Ovis aries: one gene and its partners. The protein of the gene in region 1 interacts with the protein of each later gene in a pairwise test. Links are inferred from orthologs where the notes say so. Each region holds a gene or a part of one and is shown on either strand. Other genes may lie near its edges.

Region 1 (3,650 bases):
CTGCTGGCCTTGTCCCTGCTGGTAGCTGGAGTACTGTGAGGGGGCACCCTGGGCAGGTCCTAGAACACAGCAGGATCGTGAGATCACCCCCCAACACCCTCTCCCACAGGTCCTCCCAAGCCCCTGAGACGTGCATTCCTGCTAATTCAGTCGTGTCTGACTCTTTGCAACCCCATGGAATGTAGCCTGCCAATTGGAGTAGGTTGCCATGTCCTCTTCTAAGGAATCTCCCCGACCCAGGGATCCAACTTGCATCTACTGTGGCTCCTGCATTACAGGTGGATTCTTTACAGCTGAGCTACTGGGGAAGCCCCTGAGACATCAGCACCCATTTTTCTACCACATTAAACCTGAGTAGTGAAAGCACCACAGCTGGCGGCCAAACCTGCTACGCCCCCATGGCTCCAGCTATGCCTCCCCCACATCCAGACGGGGACTGGGGGCCACTGTCAGAGCGCTAGACCTGCTTCTTGGGACCAGTCTACACAGTCACAGTTATTACTGTAAACACGAGTTAAATGTACAGCAAATGGCGAGAACACAGGCAAGACAATGATGGTGCCTCGAAGCCTAAGTGGACAGGGAAGGCGGAATTGACAAAGGCTGAGGGGTTTTTCCAAAACCAGCCTGATGGAGGGTCTACAAAGTGCCTGCCTAGCCCTCTTCAAAGTGCCAAGGTCAGGAAAGACAAGGAAAGTGCGAGCAACTTGCAACCCAAGGAGTTGTGGAACCCCGGACAGTCCAGGACAGGAAAGGACATGTAGGTAGGCCCATGAGGTCTGAAGAAACGGGGTTCAGTCCACGGCCACACACCAGCGCTGGTTTCTTAGCTGTGACCATGGGGCGCTGGGAATAGAAGAGGTTAGCCATGGGGAACCATCAGCTTTCCCCATAGCTTTTCTGGAAACCTACAGCTGTTTCAAAATAAGACGTGCGCAGGCACCCATTGAATGACCATGCTCCTGCAACCCCCACCGCCTTACCGTAGCCTTGCTGTTGTCCGGGGTAGCTCTGCTGGTTGGGGTACTGCTGTTGGGAGTACGTCTGCTGCTGGGCTGTTCCCTGCTGGTACCCTGTCTGCTGCTGGCTGTACTGTGAGTTTCCTGCAGAGGGAAGTAGACATGAACTTGTTTCCAGAGAGCAATGGCAGCTCCATTGTCCTCCAAGGTATGGGCTGCTTTGGGTTCCATAGATTGACTCTATTGCTCCAGCACCTTTTCTTTTCCACAACAATACAAATTATTTTACTATACTTCTCTCTTACTATCTGATAGAAATACAAATATACGGCCAAAATGAAAAGACTATTGCAGTTAAAACAAAGCCTGATACCAGGGCTTTGAGGTCCTGACCCTGGGGACCTGTGGCCTTATTTGGAAAGAGGGTCTTTGCAGATGTAATTGTTAAGGGGAAGCCATACTGGATCAAGCTGGGCCCTAATCCAGTGTTCCTATAAGAAGGAGATCTGGACACACACACAGGGAAAGGCTGTGTGACTCCCAGAGTCCAAAGGGACCCCACACGTTTCAATGCAATTTCGTTTTACAGGCAAATGTGCAAGCCAGTTCAGACCTGTAACGTGTTTTTCCTCTGACTTCATGGATGAAAAGATGTAGAAATTTACCTCTGTGTTCTTCATCTATTTGTGGGTATAGTCCCAGAGATGTTTTAGGTTCATTTTTTCTTTTTTTTTTTCCCAAAGAAAATGCCTTAATTCTCATTTTCAAAACTCTTAACTAGCCAGCCAGCACCCATGCTAAAAGCCTCATTTTTGGAAGAAAGCTCACAGTAAAAGTTGAGAGAGTGGTAAGCATATTAACAAATAGTTATCAAGGGTTAAGAGCGAGTGTTAACAACCATTTAAAAATCCTACACCTACAATGGAAAAGAACCTAAGAAAAGTACATATGTAAATATATGTATATATGTATAACTGAATCACTTTGCTGAACACCTGAAACACAACTCTGTCAATCAACTATATTTAAATAAAATTTTAAAAATCAATAAAAATTAAAAATATTTCTACAAAGTCTTCCTAACGCAGGTCACAAGAGTTTTAGATTGGTGTAGAGATTAAATTCCATTCAGTTTTCATAGTGCCTTTATACAAAGACCAATTTAAGCCTAGTTTCATTGTTTTCTTTCAAATAGGGCTTTGCTCTTCACCACCACAGTGCCTGCCCTTTAACTTACAGTATGTCGGGTCCTACTTTGCATAAGACTCCATGCTCTAGCAGGAGCAGCTGGAGGCTCTAGCAGGAGCAGCTGGAGGCCGGGGGCCCAGGAGTGTTTACTCCTCTGTGGCATCAGAGAGCCAGTGAACAGCCTGCCCAGAAAGGAGAGCTGTTTATTGTTTTGTTTTTGTTCTTTATTCAAAACATATTCTGGAAGTAAGAGACAGAGGCACCGTGACAAGAGGCCAGGTTATGAACAATGGAATCCAAATAACCCATTTTTCTACATTATTTTTCCAGTTGTAAATAACTTTCCTTAGAATAAAGTAAAAAAAACAAAAAACAAAAAACTTTCCTCTTCTAGGAGTTATAAATTGTAAGTATTTAAAAACTGGGATCCTGATAATGTACATTTAAAAATAACAGCTTTATTGAGAGCAAATTCATGTGGAAAGGCTTAAAACCCCACTAGGAAGTCCATTTCCAGCTGCACACAAAGAAAAGGAACACACTCTGTAATATGGGCAAACTCTTCTCCAAGGTGGGCTCTGATGAGCCTGTGGGTCTTTTTAAAAAATTATCTGTTTCTTATTTGGCTGAGCCAGCTCAGCTGTGCTGTGGCATGTGGGATCTTTAGTTGTGGCAGGTGGGATCTAGTCCCTTGACCAGGGATCGAACCCGTGTCTCCTGCACTGGGAGTGCGGAGTTTTAGCCACTGGACCACCAGGGAAATCTTTCCTCGGTCTTTCTGATTGATCACCATCTAAGGAAACACCTTGACCTCTGCTCCCTCCTCACAACCATGGCTGGTCCCAGCAATAATGGCCAATGGGACAGCTGATGGCCAAGGAGGTGTCAGCAACTGGTGGAGATGTGGGTTCACTGTCCTTGTGTCTCCTGAGAAGTGCACCAGAGACTTGGCAGGTTTCTCCAGGGCTGCAGAGTTTCGGGGCCCATCTGCACGTTCTCATGTCTTACAGTCCTGTTCTCCTTCTGTGGCAACAGGTAAAGGGGCTAATTCACAGCAGCAGCTGCTGAGGCCTGGACACAGCAGGTGTGCAGTGAGTAAGAATGCAGCGCAGCTCTCATGCACCCAGAAAAACCTTCCCTTGATCCAGGGCCAAACCCCAGGGGAAGATGGGCTGGTTTGGACAACTCTGAAACAAGAGGCAGGACTCTCTGAACATGCCTGAGGAGTTCTCAAGAGGGTCTTGTGGGAGCAGCAGAGCCAGGGAGCCCAGATTCTGCCCTTCCTGGAACAACCCGGGGCTTTCCCACCACTGGGGCAGAGACGACCACTTCCCTTGTTTTTCTGCTCCTTTTCATTTGTTTCTATCTTTAAGAATATTGTGACAGCCTATGACGTGGCCATGAAAAAAGGAAACACTCATTGGTTAAAGAAGAGGCTGGTGTTAATAAATGTGGTAGGAATGTGGCCACAAAACAAAGGAACAAACCCATGATGGTGACTTG
Region 2 (4,375 bases), on another chromosome or scaffold:
ACACATTTATTTGCAAAATACATAAGAATACATTAACTGTAAGTTTGAAATAGTACCAGTTTACCTCTATCTCTACCCTTTTTTGCTGTAATTAGTACTTATCATTACCTAAAAGATCCTGTACTCACGAAACATAATGTTATTCTCTATGGATGCCGCCAAACGTGACACTAAATTCGGTTCTATATTATAAACATAATCATATAATCTTTGAAAATTTAGAAATAATTCCACTTAATTTGGATACCAGCAATTGCAATTGCACACAATTTATATAAAGGTAATAACATATATTTAAGTGTTACAAATACCTGAACAGCCATCAAGAAATCAGAACTTGTGGATTCTAGTCTCAATTCTTCCACCCTTTCAGTAGACGATAATGGCTAAAATTTACTTACTTTCTTTTTATGTACAGTAAGATCATAATTAGTACTATACAAGAGCAACACAATATAGAATATACATTTAGGTTAAAATTGAGTGAAACTCTTCAAGATCTCTGATTTAACATGTTCCCAAGGTGCGTGAGATAAAAGCTACAGGATGTTTCCTGGGATTTGGTTCTTTTTTTCCTTTGTCTTAGAAAGATGGAAATCCCAGTAAAATTTACATACACAAAACCAAACACCTAGTTGACAGTGAAAATTGAAGCTACTCAGGCACTTTAATTTTTAATTCTAATTTTTAACATCCCCACTCTAATCTGTAGTCGTAAGGGAAAATTATCAAAAGGTAAATAACTCATGTAGGTTTTTTTAAAACTATATATCTCTGGGAGGGGGTGAGAGTGTGGAAAGTTCAAACAAAAATGATGACATTTTATAGTCTCAAAACATATGAAAATTACTGAGAAATATTCAACTGTTTTAACTATATTTAAATGACACATATAATGTCCACTTTTTCATCTGGCTGTATTGATATTGTTGGCATTGTTTTTGTCTTCAAAATACTGACTAATCCTAGACATAAATACAATCTTAATTTTGGATATGACTTTTTTCTTTAATTGTAATGTATTTATATTTATAAAATAAAAACCCATTTGTTTCCATTCATTCAAATTGAATGGAAGTGATCATTCAAAAAGCCTTCATAATATATCTGAAGTCAAAACCTTTTTGCTCCAATTATCCTAAAGAAAATAGCTGTTTCCTAAATATTTAAGATAATTAGCTCAATTATTTACTGCCCTAGTATATTCTCAACTAATAAATGAAATATCAATTTCAATAGATTAGCCATAATTTTAGAAGGATATTAAACTTATATTTCAAATGTTTGGAAGAATTAAGGACACAATCACAAACAGTATATGCAAATTGTAATTCAATGTTTAAATGAAATAAAATGTACTAGTTTTTATTAAGATACTGCTTTTTCTATTGTATTTTTTTAAGATTTAGATCACATTTTACATATAAACAGATTGTGTAACTTATTAGCAAATAGACATTTTTACTTATTTGCATCCTATTTGGAATTTGGGAGGAAATTTCTTTACCCTACATAGGGAAGTTTAATATTATGTTTTTACTTTAGATTCCTCTTCCTTTTGAAACAATATTATAAAAGTTTCTGTAGGACTTTTACTTAGAGAGCCTACTGATAAACTCTTGGTTTTAGAAGATTTTCCATAAAATCTAATTAGTGATATTTCACTGTAATAAATCATATATAAAAGCTACTTTTAAAATAGTTGAATATTTATTTAAGTTAATAGCACCATTTTAACTGATTGATCTATGTCTTCTAGTTCAAACATATTTCATCTTATGGCTGAATTGATACACAACTGATACACAATTTTGAATTTGCACTCTATGGTAAAAGGTAGGGTTAAGATCCTTCCTCTTTTTAACTTATTTTTTAAGAATCATGTTTTATAAACATAAAAGCTTATGAGTTGATTGCATGTTGAACAAGTCATTAAAATTCATTATTGCTTACATTCAAAGGAATTACAATAATGAAACTACAACAAAGAAATTACAAAATTACAAAGAAGTTAGCCAATAATGAACAAAGTGATGGTTTTTATTTGCATTGCAGATCATTTTTCACCTTTACCAGAATATGTCTCTATACAAAACATTCAGTGAAAACAATTTTTGGATGAATTTCTAATTGGTCTTTTAAACTCCTGCAAGAACGTTTGAGAGAACCAAATGGAAAAAAGCAAAGAATCTGAATATACTGACTTTCAAAATTCAAGGGTACCCTTGAGCGAGCCTTACCACTGCAGGGTGAGCTGGGTCTGCTTCTTTTTATCCTTCATAATCTGCGTGATGGTTTTCTTCTGTGAGAGGTGTGGATCGGTTGCTTTAGTTTTGCTGTCTGGATTATCCGCATCCTCTTCTTCGGAGGAAAAGTTACCATTGCTTAAATGCATTTCTAATTGCCAGTTGAAAAGATAAAGAAAACCAGAATATAAAATCAATTAATTAGCTCTAAATGTATCTTGGCGTCAAACGGGGTGGTCTATGGGGGGTTCGGAGGAGAGTTATACAAAATCCCTTAGACTTAATTTCTATTCGACCAGCATTTTCCTAGGGGAAACACATGTACGTTTGCGATGTGTTTATCATTGGAGGCCCTTTTAAAACTACATCCGAGTCCCAGTCACGTCCCGGGAGGGCAGAGCACTCACCGGCTTTAACTCCCCCGGGCAGCTCCGAGTCGTCCGCTTTCTCCCCGCTGCCCAGCTCGCGCCCCGGCTGCGCTTCGCCCGTCAGGTACACCCTTTCTTCGGGGTAAACGAGCAAACCCTTGCCCAGGAGCTGCACACAACACTCCTGGACTTCGGGGGAAACCGGGGGAGAAGCCTGCGCCTGCAGGAAGGCGTCTTCCAGCTCCGGGACCTTGGCCATCCTCCTGGCCGCCGAGACTTGGGCGCCAGCCGCTCGACCGGCGCCCAGCGGAGCCGGGAGGCCGGGGCGGGGCGGGGCGGGGCGGGGCTGCGGACCCCGGGCCGCTGGGGCGGAGGCGGAGGCCGCGGCTCGGGATCCCCCGGGCGTCGCGGAGAAGGAAGGCCCGGCCCAGGGGCAGCTCTGACAGCCCAGGGAACCGGGTGGGCCGAGGCGGGACTGCCCGTCTCCACCTGCCTGCCATCCTGACAGATGCTCCGCTCAGAACTCACTTCTCACCTGCGCGAGTCAAGCCTGAGCAATGAAGTCCCTTTCCCCACATCTCTTCCCTCTGTTTCCTCTTCTCCCATCTTGAGCTGGGACCGAGGACACTTTTCCACACCCAAAGCTCTCCAAGGAACCAAGAAAGCGACACTGTCATCTCGGGGTGGGGTGGGGGGCCGAGGGAGGGGAGAAGCAACTCTCCCCACCTCTACTCTCGGGTGACATCAAGGATGCTTCAGGGGACTGCCCTGATTCTGCACGCCCAGGCCGGAGGAGGGGGACCTCAGAGCACCGCTCAGTCTTTGCAGAACATGGTCTGGGCTGATTTATTCCCAGAGTAATCCTGGGCGGTGGGGGGTGGGGAGTGGTAAGGGGTCTTCTCAGTGACCCGGACAGACGCCATCTCGGCCCACTAGTGGGAAGACTGCCTTGCTCCCCAGCGCAGAATGCCTGCCTCTCTGCCCTCTGGGGATCTGGCTCTGAGCTTAGAGGAAAAGATGCATCCACTCTCTACGTATTTTGTAATTTAAACGCATCCCTGGCGATTCCTCACCCCTCATACCTGGTAGTAGTGCAATGGACCATTGCGGAAATGAAAAAATGAAGTTGCCACATTTCATTTCCAATCTAAAATGCCGAGATAGTCGTGTATGGGGGAAAATATCTTGTTCTTTCTTTAAGGAGAAATCAGTAGACTTGGGCTCTGTGTTGCCCCATTGACACCGAATCTTTCCTTCCTTCCACCTTCTGTTCTTTTGACAGATATTGCCCTGTGCTCACTATCTATATGTTTGGTGCTCTCCAGAGAGAGCAAATATCTTGCTTTCATTCACACTTCTTCACCACAATCTGCAGCCTGCCATCCTCATTTGGAGCTTAGTAAGATAGATCACTCCTGAAATTTAACAATATTAAACTATATTATATCCAAATATAACATGGAAAAAGCAAAATGGGACCCAAGGTGGTGGATGGCTGAAGGGTGGATTATAGGTGGGAGTAAAACAATCTAAGAGCATTACTTTGCCAAAGTGGCTAACATTATGAGTACATTTGACCCTTACCCATTTTTCAGCGTAACTTATGGAAAAGTCACCACTTCTCTGTCAGAGATTTTCTCCTGGTACCTCCAGAGCCTGGATCTAGGTTGGGGCAGTCCAGCTATCCAGGCAACCAAAGCTCTAAGTCTATACCACCATCACTCCCTACAACCTTGAGTATCAGTCTCCTCCACCCAGTAC
Region 3 (3,650 bases), on another chromosome or scaffold:
AAAATAAGACTTATCAGTGGAACTAAAAACGAAGGAAAAGTTTTCACTAAAAGCTCAAGGATAAAAATGAACTCAACATCTGACAGTAATCACCAACAGTTTTAAAATGTATATCCAAATTTTAACCTCAGAAGGACCAGGTTTATTTATCCTGTAGAGAGAACAGCTCAAGATGTTGAGAAGTATCATTTGTTTAAATTATGACAATGGGATTGTTTTCAAAGTGTGTTTATTTGGGGGAAAAAGTGATTATATAAGTGTTTAGTTTCATAATTTAAACAAATTGAAAAGTCTGTTTTAAACAAATTGTAGCAAAGAGCTATTCAATATACGTAATTATTTAACTTTCCATAAAAACCAAATAAAAATCACATTTGAATGATTTGTTTACATTTTTATCTGATTGTATCCATCAGATGTACTATACATCCAAGCACAAGAGGCAGACATCTTCTGAGAGGTGCAAGAGTTGTTCTTTCATGAATGCCCTCTAAGAATAGGGAAACAGCAATTTTTATATATGCATTCAAGTGCATATATCTATGTACTTCAAAAAGCAAAGCGTCATCTCTTCATCCATTGTTAACTTAATGGTAAGACTGCAATAGAAAAAAGAAAAAGTAAACTTCTAGATTTTGTACATGGAGTTTATTAACTCCTTGCTGTGACTTAAACTTATTGCTTAATAAATCCAAACAGCAAATCATCACTTATTCTGGCATACACTTTACTGAAATATTTAAAACAATATACATATGGCAAAAAGTTACACTAATTAAAAGTTTCAGGGACACTTTATTAAGATTAATTGGTTGTGATTAATCTGGTTGGAGATCTGATTAGTCCTTTTAAGAATAAACAGATTTTCTTTTCCCCTGTGGAGAATGTGACTTGGCTCAATTCATAGGGGAACATGGTGCTTTTCTACTTGGTCATATGCCCAAGACAGGTCCTCAACTAAGATGTCAACCCTACTCCAGCTTGGCTGACAGTAGAGCACACAGCATTACATATAATTGGCAATGCAGAAGCGTGGGATAATCTTGAGCTCAGTACTGTGAAGGGTCTAACATAACCCTGGCTGAGAAACACGACAGCTGCGTGAACGATGGGCAACGTTACACATTCATGGCTCTGGATTCTCTGAAAATCTACCTCTATATCTAGCCAGACTGAGAGAGATGACTTCCATTGAACTTTGTGCTTTGGTTTGATGCTATCAAAACACTACTGAGAGAAGTTAAAAAAAAAAAAAAAAAAAAAAGTCCAATGAAACACATCTCTGAGTTTACCTCAAGAATGCTGTTGAGGATACCGCTTACTACATTACAAATCCTTTGAGGGATATCTGAGCAATTTCTGTATTTTTAATACCAGGAATACCTGTGCTTTCATCCTTTTAAATGCTTTATCTAAATTTGTCTGAAGGTTGAAATTTACTTATTTTATATACACACCCCTTAAAAAAAAAAAAAGGGTTTAAAAGCTTTCTAATTGTCCATCCAAAACTGGAGAGTTTTTCAGCTTATAGGACTATTACTGCATGTTAATAACAAATTAAACACTCACATGGGGGCCACCAGGCATCGGTGGAGCACCAGAAGGTCCTGAAGGCACTTGAAAAGGATTATTGGGAGTGGGATACAGTCCTGGTGTGGGATACGATCCTGCAGGGGCAGGATACGGCGCTGGTGGTCCCCAGGCTCCTGGTGGCACAGTGCCCCATGGAACAGGTGGGGCCGCCCCTGGTGCCTGGGGAGGAGGAGGAGCGGGGTATGGCCCTGGAGACGGATATGGCATATTGGGGGTGGGATACTGCCCTCCCATTCCTGGTGCCCAGGGTCCCGAAGACATGGATCCCCATGGACCTAAAGGACCAGCTGCAGTTGGATCTGTGGGTGCACCATATGGTCTTGGAAGCTCAGGAAAGGGCATATTTGGTGTAGGATATGGCCCAGTGGGGCCAGGGCCTGGATAAGGACCCCCAGGTGGGGGGCACGAGGGTCCAGAAGGAGGAAAGGGAGCCGGGGGTCCCGGAGGCGGTCCGGTGGGAGGCACGGAGGGGTACATCCCTGTTGGCGTTGGTCCAAAAGGCACGGGGGAGGGTGTTGCACTTGGCGGGAGTCCAGATGGCACGGCAGGTGGAGCACTTGGGTTATTCCAGGGGTTGGAACCTGGCCAGCCTTGAGGAGGTTGGCCGGGTTTTGTATTGCTCACAGCAGAGGTTTTGGCAGGGGAGTTTTCAGGTAGCGCATCTGCCAACTGGAATACAAAACAAGCATGTCTTATTGATCTTATTCAGGGACAGGCAATGCCATACACGATTATCAACCTATGAAGGATGGTAAGCTATCAGGTCAGGAATTCTTCAAAAGCCAAGCTGTTCCGTTTAAAACCACTTCGTTTAATACAAAATTTGGGAGTTTCCTTGAATATCAGCTTTACAATGCAAATTCCTCAGAGAAGCTCAAGTTTTCTAAATACAACTGATCAACACAGTATGAACTGAATCCTGGCTTTTCCTCAAACAAGTGACATACCTTCTCTGAGCTTTGGTTTCCTCATTTTCAAAACAACAGTTTAGGGTTAACCTGAGGCCTAAATGAGATAACTCACTCAATGCACTTAACACAGTGCCTGGTACACAATTATCAAGAAATGTTGGCTATAATTAACACTATCCGGTTAAAAGAAAACAGAAGTAAGCCTTTAAAAAATTATACTTAAAGATTCATCAAGAAATAAGTACTACAGAATGCATTTTCAAATATTATAGCTAAATTAAGACAAATCATCCATCAAAATCACATGCTAAAAAAAAAAAAAAAGAAGAAGAATCACAAAAAGCATTTCTTTTAAATTGGAAGACTTCGGGCCCACAGTTAGGACCATGTCTTTTTTCAAGAGCCAAAAAACTTATGAAGAATAAATGCATCAACTTACCGAAAATTCATCAGACATTTTCCTAAAAACAAAACCAAAACAAAACAAAAAAAGAAGGAATATTTCAAAACCAGTTTATTATATTTTATATTCTTTAAGGAATTATGCATATATTATTTTATTTAAATGGAATCTTAATAATTTATAAAATTACTTTCTTCATGTAGGAAAAATCTCCAAAATAGTTCATACACCCTGATAAACTTCATCCCTTTTTACTGGCTATACAGTATATAAAAGTGATCCATAATTTACTTTGTACTCTCAAGTTGGTGGCTGTTTAGGCTGTTGCATTCTGAGTTTTTTAAAATGACGACACTGTGAACATCTCTAAACACCTATCTTTTTGAGTCTATTACGAGGAAAAAGCACTAGAAGTGAAATACACAGTCAACAGGTAAGGCCATTTAAAATCCATCTCAAAAAGGCCATCCCAATTTACACTACCTTTTTAAAGCTCCTCTTCACCACTGGATGTTACTAAATTTATACATCATTTTCAATGACAGGTTAAAGATTGGCATCATGTTTTAACTTACATATGATTATTAATTAAGTGGAAAGTAGAGCATTATTTAAATTTAATACCCCATTTAGACTTCTTTTTCTGTGAATATGCTTGGACCACTTTCTACTCATGCTATTTCCCAATCTATTCTAAGAAAGCAATCACTTTTTAAGTTTTTGCTTGTTCCTTGATTTCATAT

What was found.
Region 2: the proteins of SS18L1 (region 1) and RFX6 interact in binary tests that used the Homo sapiens proteins (3 or more experiments, as listed by UniProt). The two-hybrid records come from large-scale screens. The link is inferred for Ovis aries from reciprocal best matches to the Homo sapiens genes SS18L1 and RFX6.
Region 3: the proteins of SS18L1 (region 1) and MAPK1IP1L interact in binary tests that used the Homo sapiens proteins (3 or more experiments, as listed by UniProt). The two-hybrid records come from large-scale screens. The link is inferred for Ovis aries from reciprocal best matches to the Homo sapiens genes SS18L1 and MAPK1IP1L.

The regions. Positions count from the first base shown.
Region 1 is NC_056066.1:54,723,853-54,727,502, forward strand, and holds part of SS18L1 (calcium-responsive transactivator), read right to left. Parts: intron 1,104-3,650; coding exon 984-1,103; intron 60-983; coding exon 1-59. UniProt on the Homo sapiens protein: Transcriptional activator which is required for calcium-dependent dendritic growth and branching in cortical neurons. Recruits CREB-binding protein (CREBBP) to nuclear bodies.
Region 2 is NC_056061.1:21,008,554-21,012,928, forward strand, and holds the start of RFX6 (DNA-binding protein RFX6), read right to left. Parts: upstream 2,931-4,375; 5' UTR 2,874-2,930; coding exon 2,654-2,873; intron 2,398-2,653; coding exon 2,241-2,397; intron 1-2,240. UniProt on the Homo sapiens protein: Transcription factor required to direct islet cell differentiation during endocrine pancreas development. Specifically required for the differentiation of 4 of the 5 islet cell types and for the production of insulin.
Region 3 is NC_056060.1:65,606,721-65,610,370, reverse strand, and holds part of MAPK1IP1L (MAPK-interacting and spindle-stabilizing protein-like), read right to left. Parts: intron 2,966-3,650; 5' UTR 2,962-2,965; coding exon 2,944-2,961; intron 2,263-2,943; coding exon 1,570-2,262; intron 600-1,569; coding exon 588-599; 3' UTR 1-587.